4 linked regions of the Drosophila melanogaster genome follow. The protein of the gene in region 3 interacts with the protein of the main gene of each other region in a pairwise test. Each region holds a gene or a part of one and is shown on either strand. Other genes may lie near its edges. The genes, in order: Argk1, ksh, Cpr50Cb and Eglp4.

Evidence for each region.
Region 1: the proteins of Cpr50Cb (region 3) and Argk1 interact in a two-hybrid assay, tested with the Drosophila melanogaster proteins (one large-scale study listed by BioGRID).
Region 2: the proteins of Cpr50Cb (region 3) and ksh interact in a two-hybrid assay, tested with the Drosophila melanogaster proteins (one large-scale study listed by BioGRID).
Region 4: the proteins of Cpr50Cb (region 3) and Eglp4 interact in a two-hybrid assay, tested with the Drosophila melanogaster proteins (one large-scale study listed by BioGRID).

What each region holds. Positions count from the first base shown.
Region 1 is NT_037436.4:9,063,009-9,067,854, forward strand, and holds the start of Argk1 (arginine kinase 1), read right to left. Parts: upstream 3,020-4,846; 5' UTR 2,700-3,019; intron 1,510-2,699; 5' UTR 1,500-1,509; coding exon 1,456-1,499; intron 1-1,455.
Region 2 is NC_004354.4:19,493,867-19,496,650, forward strand, and holds ksh (kish), read right to left. Parts: upstream 1,127-2,784; 5' UTR 1,037-1,126; coding exon 1,034-1,036; intron 971-1,033; coding exon 861-970; intron 786-860; coding exon 680-785; 3' UTR 554-679; downstream 1-553. Other genes in the region: CG12204 (uncharacterized protein), read right to left, coding at 1-513.
Region 3 is NT_033778.4:13,793,247-13,797,830, reverse strand, and holds the start of Cpr50Cb (cuticular protein 50Cb), read right to left. Parts: upstream 3,055-4,584; 5' UTR 2,893-3,054; intron 2,727-2,892; 5' UTR 2,656-2,726; coding exon 2,626-2,655; intron 1-2,625.
Region 4 is NT_033778.4:23,607,064-23,610,556, reverse strand, and holds Eglp4 (entomoglyceroporin 4), read left to right. Parts: upstream 1-1,626; 5' UTR 1,627-1,750; coding exon 1,751-2,425; intron 2,426-2,505; coding exon 2,506-2,724; 3' UTR 2,725-2,965; downstream 2,966-3,493.

The sequences.
Region 1 (4,846 bases), on a different chromosome or scaffold from region 3:
CCTTGTAAATCATTGGTGTATCCCTATACTCCATAACATTTCGATAAATATTTGAAAACAAATATAGTCGCAAATAACGATTTTTCAATATGCAGTAATTGCAGTAAATCATATGCATTTTAATATAATTAAAAGTAAATGAAGCCTTTTAGTAGTTCGTAGAGTCACACTGGAAGGATCTAAGGCAGCCCTGGTTTTTGAAATTGATTTAAATTTGAAAAGTATGAAAATACTGCACTTTCTAGCTTTTGTTATAGAGTTAATCATAGTTCTTTTATAATGCCCTATAGATAAGAAAACAAAATAGAGCCAGTTATTTATTGTACTTTGCCAAAAGGCGTTAGCCTATTGGTGGGCGTGTTGCTTAGACGCAAATGTTTCAGTGCTTTAATGCCCACAAATGGCAGTAATTTAGAACTGTAACCACAATTTCTTATTTCCCACCCATTTCCCCAGTTACGAAATTACTTTCTCCACTCCCCCATTTCTTTGGGCCGGCGTCGTCATTTCTCTTGTCACGTAGGCCAAAACGGCAATAGCTGACGAAAAACTCGTGCGGCAAATTGATAAGCAAACAAACGAGCTCCACCCGGCATAAAATCGGCAAATCGGCAAAATACCGGCCCCAAATGCCGGCTGTATGGATGAGAACGAAAAAAACTAATACCGCTCCAAACTTCAATTATCACTTTTGTTATTACGCTAATTGCCGGCAGATAACAACTGGACGCTTTTTTCTTTATTTTTTTGCCAAAAAAATGCGAATTTTGTTTTGCACATGTGCAAATCAGAGAATGTTTGAATGTGTGCGATCAGCCGATTGCACTTATCACGAATGAGAGTTAGAGCCACAAAAGCCGGTTGTTATGGGCTGGGGTATTCGACGAGATCGGGGGAGTGGGAGATGGGAAAACGGACAGATAGTTCATCATGTGACACCGCTCGGTGACTAACTTTCTTGCCAAATGCAGGAAAATTATACACACAGTCGCATTAGCACCTTCGAACCATAACGATCACGGAAACGTAGAGCTAAATTGGTCTAATTCAACAACTGATAGCGATAAGATTATCGGGTTTGCAATGATTGCGTCCCAAAAGTGCGACTACTGTTATCGCCAAGATTTATGAAATGCAAGAAAGTAGCTTTGCTTGGTGAAGGTGTTGTTATTAGCATTGCATAACCATTAAAAGCCAGTAAATTTATTTGTATTACCCAATCCCCCAAAGCTCGAATCACATACCAGAAACTTTTCATTTAAAACGTACTTAGACCTTTTTCTGAATTGCAGAATATTTTTAAGCTTAACTCCAAAAAGGATCTCATTACGCCCCCAAACTACAATTCACCATTAACACTACCCAGCCGAAAAGTAGGCAACACAAAACGTTCATCCGCCCTGTGGGGGGCACAGCAGTGCTTGCCAAACTGTGGAAAACCCCTTTTGCACTTACCGTATTTCATCGACAGCAAAAGTTAAATACCACAAAGCGAACATTTTGTATTAGCTGAAATTGAGAGAAGATCGAATGAGTAAATAGTTAAGTGATTTTCAAAGCAATTTGACCGCTAATGTATACGAATTAATTGGACTATAAATGGCAATTTCCACACCACATGCACTTGTTGGACTGGCACTGAATCTGATTCACCCAGCGACCTCGAAAAGCGCAACAAATGACGTCGCCGTCAAGCAATGCAAAAAAAAAAAACTCAATCGAGCGAGGCGCTCATCAGAAAAGTAAGTTCCAGAGAGCCAGAGCTCAATTAAGACCCAAGGCACACAGATAAAAAAACAGTTGAACAGGCGAAAAGACAGCAGTGAATATATGCCGGCATTATTCAAGGTTTATTTATAAACAAAAGCGCGCATGGGTTTGCAAATGCAAAATGCAGAATGCCAAATTCGCAGAACGCTGAGCGCCGAGGCACGTGAAGTCGAGACTTTTGGGCAAACGGCCAGAGATGGGAAACAGTACACAGAAAAAACCTCATAAATGGGAAAATGAAAATGTTTTGTCATAAATTTGATTTCTGAATTTCTGAATTTCTTATTTAAACTCCTCCCCAATTGAAGCCTACTAACGCCAACATTATTAAAGTTTGCCTCAATTAAAAAGTTATAAATGAAAGTTTCTTTATATGAAATATTTGAGGCACCTGCCTAGTATTTGGTTTGCAAAGTTTATTTTTAAGATATGTCATAACATTTAATATGTATTCTCACAAGCAAACAAATTGCAAATTTTCCTCTGTGCACTGCAGATCAATTCGGAAAAAGGGGAACTTTTTGTGCACCGGATGGCGCCCAATGGTCGAAAGGGTTCTAAATTTAGATAGTGCTGCCATCGATCAATTAAATATGATTATTTTGCGCACTGTTTGCAGTCCCCTGAGCTTTGTTTATCCCTCGGATTTGAGCAAAGGCAAGCAAAATTCACCATGAAGCTCCGTCTGCGTTTGTTTTCTTTTGCACACGCGGCGTATGAGCAATCTGCGATGGTAATAGCACACTCAGACTCTGACAGTTACGTCACATCGCACGGCAAACGTATGAGTGGGTGGCTGGGGCGTGGAAAATGGGTGGGTGGTGGTGCCTAAGAACACTCATTCCCATAACACTCATTCACTGTTGCAGCATGCCACACATAACAAACAACTGGGGACTTGCAGCATGACCCCTTCTGCGTGCACTCACCTTTTGTGCCTGTGTTGGATAATAAAACGACTAGAAAAAGTTGCAAGTGCTTTTCCGGAGGGTTTTCCGTTCGATTTTTTCGTATATCAAAAGGTTCGTTTCGTTTAAATGCTTCACAGCTGGTCAAATATCGAGGACTGGTCTCGATTGTGTGTTGTTTGATTTTGAGTAAAGGTACAAAATTAATTTTCTCTCGACTGGCACTCTTCTGCTGTTGAATGCTTCTTTCAAGTTTTTTTCGACTGTCGTGCTCCGTGCGAAAATCGACTGCTCTACTGGCGGCAAAAGCGACGAGACTACGGCTACGACGGCATCCAACTGAGAGAGCCCCAAAGAGAATGGGGAGCACGGAGAGCGCCGACGCCAATGTTTCCTAGCTGTGGCTGCACTTGCGACGAAGCTTTTCTCACGAGATTCGTTTCCCAACGAACCCACGGGTTCTGTGCCAGGTACACCCGAAAAAAACTTAGAAGACTTTAATCAGATTCCAACAGAGAGGGTTCAGAGTTAACTACTATAAAGGATATACATATTTATTAGAGGACACTAGCAAATAATTAAATGTAGATATTTCAATGTAGTAATAACTAATAGTAAATCTATGAATTTTCTGTAACTAATTAATTATTTTTCTCTGTGCACGATTTCAATATTTATTTCCGTGTACTCTCCGATTCGGAATGTTACTCATAGGCTTACGCTATGCCACCGCTATGTGTCAATAATCGCGTTGAACCTGGTCAAAAGGCTGCCTAATCAATAAAAGAAAAGAATTTTCGGAAACAGTTTTTGGGCACTGGACGAGTCACTTTTCCAATTGGCACTATCAGTTCAATGTTTACTATTTATTTTGCTTACTGCAGCGTTTGGCCCAGGCCAAAACTATCAAATTTGGTCGAAAAAGCGCTGCTGACGCCTTTCGCCGGTTGTCTGTCGTGGGCAAATAAATCCAGATAATAAACTCGAGCGTACTGTTCAGTCATTCATTCAACAGCGCTATCTATTTTGCAAAGCCCACTTAATTGGCCTGGGTGATGATGATTGGGGTCTTATCGCTCGCCGAAGACTCTGCAGTTTGAGAGCCACTGCAACGGCAAAGATGCAATGGCAAGCGCACAGAGTCCGTGAATCCCGTGGACCAGGTTGCATAATGATACGTACAGCTGCTTACATAACCGCGGCAGCGAGAAAGGCGACCAGAAACAAGGTCAAAAGTTCAAGGACTGAGAAAAGCTCGAAAACATCCTGGAGCGCTTGCGTTGCTCAGCGGAAGTTCCTGCGAGTGTGGGTGTTCTGTTTTTGTTGACAAAAAGTTTTTATTATCACGAATTATGTACTTTTAATCGGCTACCTTCGGCCTACAGCACTAAATATTGTATAACACAACCCATGAAGTATGCAACGAAAATAAAGATTAAAGCACTTGAAAAGGATAACTTTCGAGCCCCTTCCGTAAATAATTAGGAGCACAATTTTGATTTAAGTTTCAAACATTTTTTATTGGTTTTTCAATTGAATGCATTTTGTTTGCTACGCTTTAATTGGTTTATATATCTTGGTTGTCTTACATTGTAATGATATTGCATATGCCACACAAACTGCTGTTGGCCTCGGTTGATTAAGCTTTAAAATCTTGCACAAAACATAATCATTGCAAATCAAATGGAAATTGACTTTGAATAAAACGCTTGCTTTCATATATTTTAAGCTATGTGCATTTTGTATGTGTATTATTTTACTACATATCGATATATAATTTAACATTTGAATCATTCTCATCTTCACTTTTCATCCTGACTGGAATATCAATCTAATTCCGCACGCTGTTGATTCACTCAAACACTTCGGTTCAAAACTTTGGTTCCCCCGCGTTCGTCCTTCGTTAACCCGCTAAGCTAGCTACTACTGGATCTGATCCGATCTCCTATAGTTCATTTTGAATTCTTCTCGTTGGCCATTTCATTTCAGATGGTCCGGTCGGTACTTATACTGGTTCTTAGTTCCGGAAAGGTTGTTAACATACTTTTGTTGGTCGCACACGTTTCGAATTGGCTTGTCTGTTGTTTTTGTAGTTTAATGTGTTGGTGTTATCTTTGTGTGTTGTCGGTTGTCGTTTGCCCTTTTTGTTGGATCTTGTTGTATCACAG
Region 2 (2,784 bases), on a different chromosome or scaffold from region 3:
CATCTGCAGGCTGACTAGCTGGTGCAGCTCCTCGTTGAGCGTGGGCTTGCTCTTGCGGTGGCGCCGATGATTCTTTTGCTGACGCCGGGTTTCGCCCACCACCTCGGCGAAGGCGGTGTTGTCCTGGAACTGCGGGTGCTTCTTGGTGTGCTTTAGAACGTGCTCGTAGATGAGCAGCCGCTGACTCGCGTCGAGTCCTGCCTGCAGATCATCAAAGGAGGCAGCAGGAAGGAGGCGTCGTGCTCTTTCGGTGCCCACAATGCCCTGAATAGTCGAGTCATCGAGCTGGATGCTAAAGTCGGGATTGTTGCTGCATGACGCCGGCAATGGCAATGGCTCTAACACCTCCGATTTAGTTGCGCCGTTTTTGTCCTGTGGTCTGTGGCTACCCGCCCCCATCACCCCGCGCTCGCTCCAACCGAAGCGCTGCAGGATGACGTGGAGACGCCTCCTGCTGGCTGTCACAAAAAGACGCAGCTGTTCTCGCTTCTCGTCCACATCTTCGCCAGACATTTTTAGCCAGCGCGAAACAGAACAGAACAGAACAGCAAGTGTTGGGAAAGCCCGAAATGTGCGGCCAGTGCTGCAGAACGCAGCGTGTATTTACAGTCCTAGAAAGTTTGGAATATCTAATCTATGGTGCCATTCGGCTCCTGGAGGGGATGCGGGATGCAGGAGCTCAGCTCCAAAAGAGAACGGTGAAGGCCATGATCAGGCAGGCGGCTCCTACCCACGGCGACTTGCGCTCCCCAATCCTTGCCAGCTTCCAGAAGGTGCCCATGAATCTGCAAACAGACAGCAGACGAGTGTTGAGTGTGGTAACAATCAGTGGACTGGTCAGGGCGGGAACGGGCACCTACCCGGTCTTGTTGCGGTCTATCAAGCTGGGGAAGAGCGAGCGCAGGTAGGCACAGGTGCAGATCAGCAGCAGGATGACCGACAGCAGGCTGTGGAAGTTGAACAGGGCGCTCTGTGGAGGGAAACGGTGCTAAGTGTACGACGGAGGAGTATCGGTTAGGTGAGCGTTTCAAACCATGATTTAGCAAATCGAAATCCGTGCTTGGCGATAGAATAACAACAAGCGGTAAACTAGTGACGTGCCAGCCGCTCGGCGCAGGCGAACTGGTTCCAAAACTGGAATCTCACGTTTCGACTGATTCGATAGGTGGTTAATCAACTGTTAGAATGATAAGGAATGTTACAATGTTTAGGAGTTAATATAAGAATATATTTATATTAAATACATATTTTGGCGACCTACTTCCATTATCTGGGATGGACATTGGATAAATATTTTACAATAGAAAGTAACAAGCTCTTAGCCAAGTTCCCACAGGGAGCATAAAAACGCCATAGGAAGTATTGAAAAGTGCAAGAGTTTACAAAAGACATCGTATACAAAAAAACGTAAGCTTAATTTCGATAGTATCGGAACTTGTATTGCAATCCAACCGTGGGTCAAGTAAATGAAATAAGATAAGACTTTGTTTCAATTAACGTTGGCAGTGGAGCTTCCCCCAATTGAAATATGTGCCAATGGAATCGGGCTATTAGGTCAAGTGAATTCAATCGACTGGCGCGGAACAGCAATCGATGGGTCCACACTTATCGCACATAGTATCGCATAAACATCGACGCAGTGGGCCACCTCTAGCAATTTGTCTGCAACTTCTAATTCGCTGCGGGTATTTTTTTTGTGTTTGTTGTTACATATAATCCGATCAATTTCGATCGCCCGCTTGGCAAATCAGTGTCTTGCTGTTCCGATTGGTGAGCTTTGGCCAATTCTCGGCGAGCGTCAGTAAATCGTTCGATTTGGCTTTAAGTCCGCCCGTGCTTTTGCGTTTTCCTTGGCTCTTTTCTTCATTTTTGTGGCCCGTTTTCGTTTTCCACTTGGTATCGCGAGGGGATGAAGGAGGGGAGCAGGAGCGGAGAATCCCGACCGAGTGCATCCCCAATGTGTGTGCGTGTACGTCTGTGAATACGATGGTGCTGCCAATGCAATTGTAACTGAGCGCGCTCATAAAAATCAAAAGTATATTTAGATATACATGTACATATATATAATAATCGGATACGTTTTCTCATTGCCCCCCCTGTCGGTGTGTGTGCGTGTGTATTTAAATCAGTAATACAGTGTGTGTGTGACGAGCGCGCTGGGTTTTGTTGTTAAGTGCGAGTGAGTAAGAGAGAGGGAACACGAGCGAGACAGCAGCCGGAGCAACAGAGAGGCAAACAGGAACTGCAACAAGAAAAACAATAACATTCTGTGGCAGCAGCAGCAGCGATGACTTCCAGTCGCTGCACTGGCAAAGCGGTAAGTTCCCGACTGCAATATTAAGCTAAGCTATGATCCGCGAATCGGTTCCTTGCATGTGTATTTATGTAAGTACACACACACACCCGCACGCGCGCCAAACACACGCACTTGCGTGTATCGTTGACGTCGGCGATTACAGCACTGTTAGCTGCTAACAGCACAGTGACGGCCACTCGCATAGATCCGCGCCAAAGTTATCGGAGTGCCCCACTCGAGGGGCGGTAAATCGTGAGTGAAAAGTGTAAAATACAAACAGTATATGCTCTTTTAACCCCACCCCCAATTTTAAAGTGCTACGGTTTAAAGTGCTGCGAACCGGAGGTGAGTTGCATTATTATATCCTCTTCCAGTGCTTTCATGACACATTCACCCATGGACCTACACCCGCGAACACCAAAACACTACGCACATGCGCAGAGCGGCCACCGACACCGATAACACACCAATGCAATGCAAAAAAGTCG
Region 3 (4,584 bases):
TGCAGAATGCAGAATGCAGAATTAGCAGCTTCGACTTTCGGCTTTTGCCAGCTCATCATCATCATCAGCAGCAGCAGCAGCAGCAGCACCATCATCGGACGGACTCAAATATCAAACTGTGAATATTTTAGGTTTGTCATTTGAAATTCAAAAGCGTGCCCGAATGAATGCCAGTCAATGCTACCAATCGTTTCTCGAATTCTTTGCCACCAGTTCTGCAATTTTCGCGTGCGAAAATGAGCAGCTGGAATCATGGGCATTAATATGCAGCAGCAGTTGGGCATTACTAGCTGGTGTGGGTGCTCGACGTATTCGTACTCTGTACCCTATAGTTGGCTAGCTGGGTAGTTGGCCAGTTGAGTCTCCCCCGGGCTGAAATTAACATGTAAAACATGCTCGCCCCGATGTTCTCAAAAGCCCGTGCACTCGACTGGCCAGCGGCCATTTGTCTATCGAGTGTCTGCCTTTTGGTGGGCGGATGTGGCAGTGGGTGGTTGGGCTCCTGGTTTTTATTTTTGGCTTGGTACGCTTCCGTGCCTGCTGTTATTCGCCCAGTTCGGGCCAAAACAAGAATGGTAAAAAAAAAGGAGAAGAAAATAAGGGGAATATAGCGGCATTGGGGAAATGGAGAATCGCTGGTGAAAAGTCAAAAAGTTACAAGCGGCAAATTACACGCGTCTGGCTGGAGTTCTACACTCTGCTCTCAAACTCTATTCCTTTGCTATCGTCTGGTGTACCTTTTGGAAGTTATCTGCTTGGCAGACCAGACGCATCAGAGATGGAGGAGTGCACTGCGAGAAAAACCGCTGAAAAAAAACATGGCTAATAGAAGAACATTTAAGATCTAACACTTTGGCCTCAAACATTGCATATATATTGCGTTTATTTTAACTACTAGTTATGCTCGTCCATTAATCACGATTACGTTAATCGTAAAAATTCATTCGAGTAATTACATGATGTATGACCAATTAAATTTTAATTAGATATTGATTATGTCTTCTTTGAAAATCTTCATACATTTGAATGGCTTTCATTGAGTACCTATTAATATAATTTTATATCTCAATCTTTTTAGACACTTTTGGTTTTTGAAGAAATCTAATTTTTCTCCTGTGTGCTCACGTAACGCGGAATGGGCGGAGGTACATTGGATGGATTCCAGACAGTGTGGTCTGCCGTCTGGACCTGCATTGCATCCAAGTGTCGCACCAACAATTTAACACGCCCCAGTTACAAAAAATAAAAGGACATCAAGGAGCAGCCAGCGAAACTCGCGTCTGTTTTATTTTGTTGCCTGCTTAAGGGCGTCGTCCCAAAACGCGATTCAAAATGCTTTAACAATGGCGAACAAGTGAAAGTATTTCGCAGTTTACAAGTGTGCTCTTGATTGCGGGTTAACTTCTGGACTTCCAGGAAAAGTATTCAATACTGTAATTTCACAATAAAATTGTGAGAATATGGAGAATTTCCAAAGCGAAATGTGTAAATTAATAGGTAACAGAAAGGATTTTGGATCACCTAGAAATTTCTTAGTTGCACAACTCTTTCTGTGTCAATTTACAGCAATTTGAAACAAATTATATAAATATTTTTACGAAACTATATTAGTAAAGTATAAAGTATATTTTTCAACAATTTGATGAAAAAAAACTTGTGTCAATTTAGCACCAGCTAAGAAAAGTTTGCCTACAAAATAAAGTCAAGTTGGAGCCTTATATATTTGCAATTGTTCAAGGGGAGCAAAAAGGTTTGCAATTTTCCTCAGATGATGCCTAAATACGAAAGGGGAAATATATTACCAACATGTGTCCTCCGCCTTACAACCTTTTAGCCTTCTCCGAAACTCAAGTGTTTAGTTAGGAACAATCAGGGAGTATTGCTTAGATTTGGGGCGTATTTTACGTGGCACTTGGCAAACGCAGATGTTGCCAAATATTGAATGCGTATCCATGGAGGAGTACGTACAAGTACATATGTATATATATATATATATATTAACCAGAGCGGAGTGGAGCACTTAAGTGTCTTTGATTATTTGCAATTTGTTCGATTCGGCGGGGTTACTTTGGCCCCTTCGCCACTTGACTTTCGTGTGTGTGTGTGTGTGGACTTGGGTTTTGATTATGATGATGATGATGAGAGGCTCTGTGGCAGACGTGTGGCAAGTTATGCAATCATTTTCGTTGCCATTGACGGCAAGTGTTACCAAAAAAAAACGAAAAAAAAGGAAGGCAAACAGTTTGCCAGGCACTTGAAACAACCAGTTTGATGGGTAGTTGCCTTCAGTTCTCCTAGCAAATCTCATTTAAACTTTCCCCAAAAGCCGCAGCAGAAAAATGACATTGTAGACGAAAAAGGACACTGAGTGACCACGGGTCATTTTTCCCTGCCAGCGATAAACAAATTTGACATATAACAAGCTTAGCTTGCTGGCCTTTCCACACACATACACATACATGCAAACATACATACATATATAGTTTCGCTTTAGCCAAAGGACACGCCTGCGAAATCTCATATGATTTGTTTGGCCAACTGATTTATGTAGGCTTAGCTATGTTTTTTTTTTCCAGGCCCAGAAATACATGTCCTTGTTTTATGTACGTATGTATAAATACTCACAAGCAGGACGAACGACTTGAAGGACATCATTTTGTTAGTTGAGTTTCGATTTTACGTTCACAGACGATGGCAAAAAGTAGTGTATCCACAAACGCCGCTGGCTGAAGTTGAAATTGAATTGAATTAAATTAAATTCATTAGAGTTGTCAATTATTTCATTTATATTGTTTCGAGTTAATCGAGTGTCTTTTGTGTTATTTTTATGATTATTGCACACTATTTAATTTGTAGTCCTTCGCTTGCCACAATAGTTGTATTAACTCTTACTTTCACCGGGCGGGGGAGGGTTTTATTTTTTTATCACCGGTTGGATTTCTCAACTAGGAGGGGGCCTCAGTTAAAGAGGAGGTGGTTTTATCTTTTTAGGTTCGGCTAGATTGATTTCCTAGACAACCGCACGAAGTACACGAACGTTTTGAATTAGGTTAGACAATGGAGATGCGCTTGCTTTTTATAATAAACGCTCAAAGACGCTGGCAGCGACGTCGGCGGCGACGGCGACTGCGGCAGCGGCGGTAGCAGCGGCGTTCGCGTTGCCAACTGCACCTAAAAGTAACGAAAAAGCGGTTTGAACAATTGAGGCAAGTCTAGCGCCTAACTTCTAGATCATCTGCCTCCGTGGAGCTGGAGCCAAGAGCATCCACATCCACGAGTCTCTCAGAATGGCCCAAAGAGAGCGCAGCGTTGCTCTCACCGTTTTGGCCAAGTCTTGGTGTTGAGGTGGTGAAAAATGTTGCAGATCATCGCCGTGGCACGATCATTACGATGATGGGTAACGAGATGATAAATGAATGGCTGGCACGATGATGATGAAGCTCGGGCGGATGTATAACAAGATGAGTTCGAGTGGAGAGCCTGCAACGCCCCGAATGACTTCATTAAATACTCGGCCAAATTTGATATTTAAGCCAAGCTTTTATGAAGTCTGGGCCCTCGGGCGATGCAGTTGCCATCGAGACGATACGAAAATGTCACTGGGAATGTCAGATGATAGGTTTCGTTTTAGCCTCCAAAGATACAGTCGCCCTTTTTCGAAATATCTATATATTTATTTTTGTTTGTTTTTTCTTCTTTTTTTTTTTTTTGCCATTTGGCCTTTGGGAAAGCATCAGAACATAGAATAAGTTTGGTGAGAAGTACGTGATGCGGTTGCCCGGGGAAAATTGCACAAGCTGCACAAACGTGTTCATGTGGCGTCCCAATTTCCCGCAGCACCTCTGCCAAAATGCAATCTATGACGTGAGGCTCATGCCAAAGATCCGTAGCCGAGGCCCCGAAACTCATCCATTGGCCATTGCACAAGGCTGGCAGACGTGTCGAGTGCCTTTGGGCCAACTTCCTCCTTCCAACCAACATCAACCGCATGGCTCCTTTTCTTCCGTCAGGCCTCAAATCCCATCCCATAACCAATTAACCTTGAATGTATCACAGCGCCTCTGTACGAGCCGAGATTAAATAACAATTAAAAGCAATCCGATGACTGATTTCAGAGTTTCTTCACATTTTTATTGACCACTTGCGAGGTGGCGATGTGTGCGTGCGTGCGATATTAAAATTAGATATTGAAATTATTATGGGGAGCAATCAATCGAAAATAGCTACACTTACAATCAACCCATCTTATAATCAGTGATGCGAAAATCTTGTACCAAAATCGAAATGTTATTACCAATTACACTGGGCTATGACTAAAACTATTATTAATATAATATTATATATTTGTAATATTAGATATGGTATTAGTTTTCAATAGCTGCAATCTTAAAGATACTCTAATATCTCAATATCTTATTTTTATAAGCAATTTTATTAGATTTTATTAGTTTGGTACCCATTTTCCAAGGTAACATTTCGTGTACCTAAGATGTTACCTCTATCAGCGCCGCTTACACCTGCTGGCAATCTTCAATGGACCGCTGTGAAAAGTAATTGAACAACTTTTGGTTACTTTTAACTTTA
Region 4 (3,493 bases), 9.8 Mb from region 3:
TTTGAAAATATTTGCTTTAAATTGTTATTATTTATTGACGATCCAATTGTTATTGAGACACATAACTACGCAAATTGCGTGCAATTTGATCGACAGGCGTGCCGAGATTTGCCGTGATTTGTTTGCCACATTGCGTGGTAGCCCGATTCACGCAACGCATCCTCAATTGCAGCAATTGCAATTGATAGGAATCGAAGCGACGGTGGTAATTGATAGTGTGCCACTCTGCTGTTATCAATACGCAATATGCCGCCTGCTTCAATTGCGAGCGCGTCACGCACTTGCACAGCATAACAGTGTTATGCCCACCGCCCACCGACCAACTACACTGAAAATAATTATGGGGATTTTCGCTATCAATTACAGTTTAGTGCTAAGTTTGAATGACACGCAATGAAAATGTCGTATTTTAGGAACTATGGTTACTACTAATTCTAGCAATCATTGCTTAGCAGATTTGCCTTTCTCATGGCAAACAAATAGTAAGAAACAAGTTAAATGAAAATGATAATTTACTTAAAAAACAAATGTAAGGACCACCTTTAATATTATAATTCTCATAAAATGCTGTGAATAAGTCGAATGAATTCGATAGAGCAAAACCAGTATGTCAGTTGCACACCAAGTGTTAATATCTAACCTTGTTTCCATGGAATATCATCCGTATTGTTTCTACCATTTTATAATGATTTAAGCCAGGTGACTGGTAAAGGAAGAGTGGGAGCGAGAAGGAGCATCGCTCCAGAGATAATCGCAAAAGCGAACGAGAGCAGCGAATGAGCGTTTAAGATGCTCATAAATTCTGGACACTTGACTTTTTTATGCTCACCAGTAGGATTCGCTAATTTCCACGCCTTTGTGTGTGTGTGTGTGTGTGTGTGCTTGTGGTCGGTCCCCTTCATATGTGTGTGTGTGTATCTGTGTGTGTTGCTGCTCTCTCACAGGGGCTAAAAATGGGCTTTTGATTTACGCAATATTATATAGACACAGATATAAATATTTGCCTATGGCTACTCCACCGCCTCAGATTGACATTGACAGTCGCGCTGCCGCTTTGTGAATTTTCACCAGCTACGGAAAAGATTGATTATATAGTGCGATCTCAAAGAATTGGACAAGTGTCAAAATGAGCCACGAGATTCGGTAATTATCTGGCACTCGAAACCAAAGAAATTCAAAAAACAAAAAACAAGAGTTCTGGCTACCAGAAAGAGGGATTTACCAATCACAATAAACGGATTAATTCGCAACGTAGTGAACTCCAATTGACTCGAGTGGCGCTCAGGCGATAAGGTTGAAAAAGATTGGTTATTGTTTTATGGCCATGTCGTGATTTGATTCGCATTTTTTCGGCCATTTATCTATAAACCCAATTGACAGCCGAACGGCAATCACAAGTCTACTATATTTAGTACACGGCTACTTCATGTCAGTCCAGCCATCGATGGCATTCCCGCAGCAGGCATCGTTTGTCGGATCAGCAGCATAAGTTGTGCTTCCAAAAAAGGGTGTTTGGAAAATCGATGCCAAGTCAATGAACCTCGAGCAGCAGGGGATGGATCCGCAAGGGGTGGAAAACCAGCAGGAAATCGTCCAGGCAGCCGAAGGAGAACAGCAGTTGCAAAGGTCTAGAAGCTTGACAAACTAACTACAAAGTTGCACAATAGTTGAGATTGTAGAAGTGTGTCGCGGGGATTAGGTGCAAATCGAGGAGGGCTTTGCGAAACGATAGGATGGTCTTAGATAGGATATGATTGATGAAGTTCCTAAGCAGGTCTACTTAGAGTCGAGAAAGAGATGGACGATGGCGTGCGACAGAGAGGGTAGCTCGCTTTTTAGTGTGGCATTATTCAAGCGCTTCTCTGACCATTTCAGTTGCTGTAAGGTCTTCAAAATGAAGGGATCGACGCTGGACAAAATCTCCGCCTTCCTCGGCGAGCTCATCGGCACCGGCATCCTGGTCTTCCTGGGCTGCATGGGTTGCGTGAAGACGGACCTCTTTCCCAACAACCATCTGCAGATTGTGCTGAACTTCGGCTTCGCCGTCCTCATCGCCATCCAGTGCTTTGGCTGCGTCTCCGGTGCCCATCTGAATCCCGCCGTGACCGTGGCCGCCTACATCTACGAGATGGTCACCCTGCGCATGGCATTTGCCTACTTCGCCGCCCAGATGCTGGGCGCCTTCATCGGCTACGGCCTGCTCATGGTCCTGCTTCCCTCGCCCACACTTACGGTGGGCGCTGGGCTCTGCGTGACCTTGCCCCACACCAGCGTAACCACGGGCCAGGCCCTCGGCATCGAGTTCGTAATCACCTCCATCCTGGTCATCGTCTGCTGCGGAGTGTGGGATCCGCGCAACTCCAAGTTCCATGACTCCGTGGGCATTCGATTTGGCCTGGCCATCGCCTGTCTCGCCTGCGCTGCCGTAAGTTAAAGCGAACAGTTGGCTAATCCTTACCTGCCTCGAAACGGATTATTAACCTCGTTCCCTACCATTGGTTTTAGGGTCCCTTCACCGGCGGCAGCATGAACCCGGCCAGGTCGTTCGCCCCCGCCCTGTGGAACAAGCACTTCGAGAGCAACTGGATCTACTGGCTGGCCCCGCTGAGCTCCTCCGCCATCACCGCCTACGCCTACAAGGTCGTCTTCCGCCGCGAGGTGGTTGAGGCGGAGATCACCTCCAATGAGAAGCTGCGGCAACTGGAGGACGTCCAGCTGTCGTAAGGCCAAAGACATTGCTGTAGGAAAAGCCCTAACTAATTTAGTTAATATCTAAGATGCCGAATTTTAAAATAATGCATTCGTTGTACGCTAATGTTAGCAGTGTCTTCACAAAGTGGCTCGAACGTTTCAAAAGGCGAACCAAGTGCACACACTTACATAAGCCCTTGAAACGATAAACGTCTTGGTGAAAACACTAATTGCCTTCAGAAATAAAGAACATCGAGATTTTTAATCTAAAACCAAAACAAAACAAGTAAATTATTTTTATGGTTTTAAGAAATTCTACACAAGATATTGGTAGTTATTTGATACCTGAAGTTCTGCTCTTCTGGGCCATCTTAAAACATGTTGAGTCCATATTATCTAAAAGCTTTTCATTCTTCAATAACGAGGTATTTGCTTTGATTAGCTCTAAGTAACTTCCGGGCTTAAAAATACCAATAAGCTTTTTCCAGGAATCGAAAGTGAAAAAAGCCCATCAGCTTAAGCGGTCTTTGGAAAATCTGTTCATAAGATATTCGAATATCTTAGTACCTCCAAATCGACCAATCAAATGGTGGCTAAAAAACGTTATCAGCAGGCTGCGAATGAGACGCGCGTATCAGCCAAATAAAGCCAAAATATACCAACAATATGCAGTTATTGTACGTTACGTACTCCATTCGGGTCTATAGTCCGTATACGAAGCACAAATGATATATGTGGTTCTATGTGGTTTAAAGGGGACTATGTGCTATGGGTGATATGCTAATGCTGGATTTGCATCACT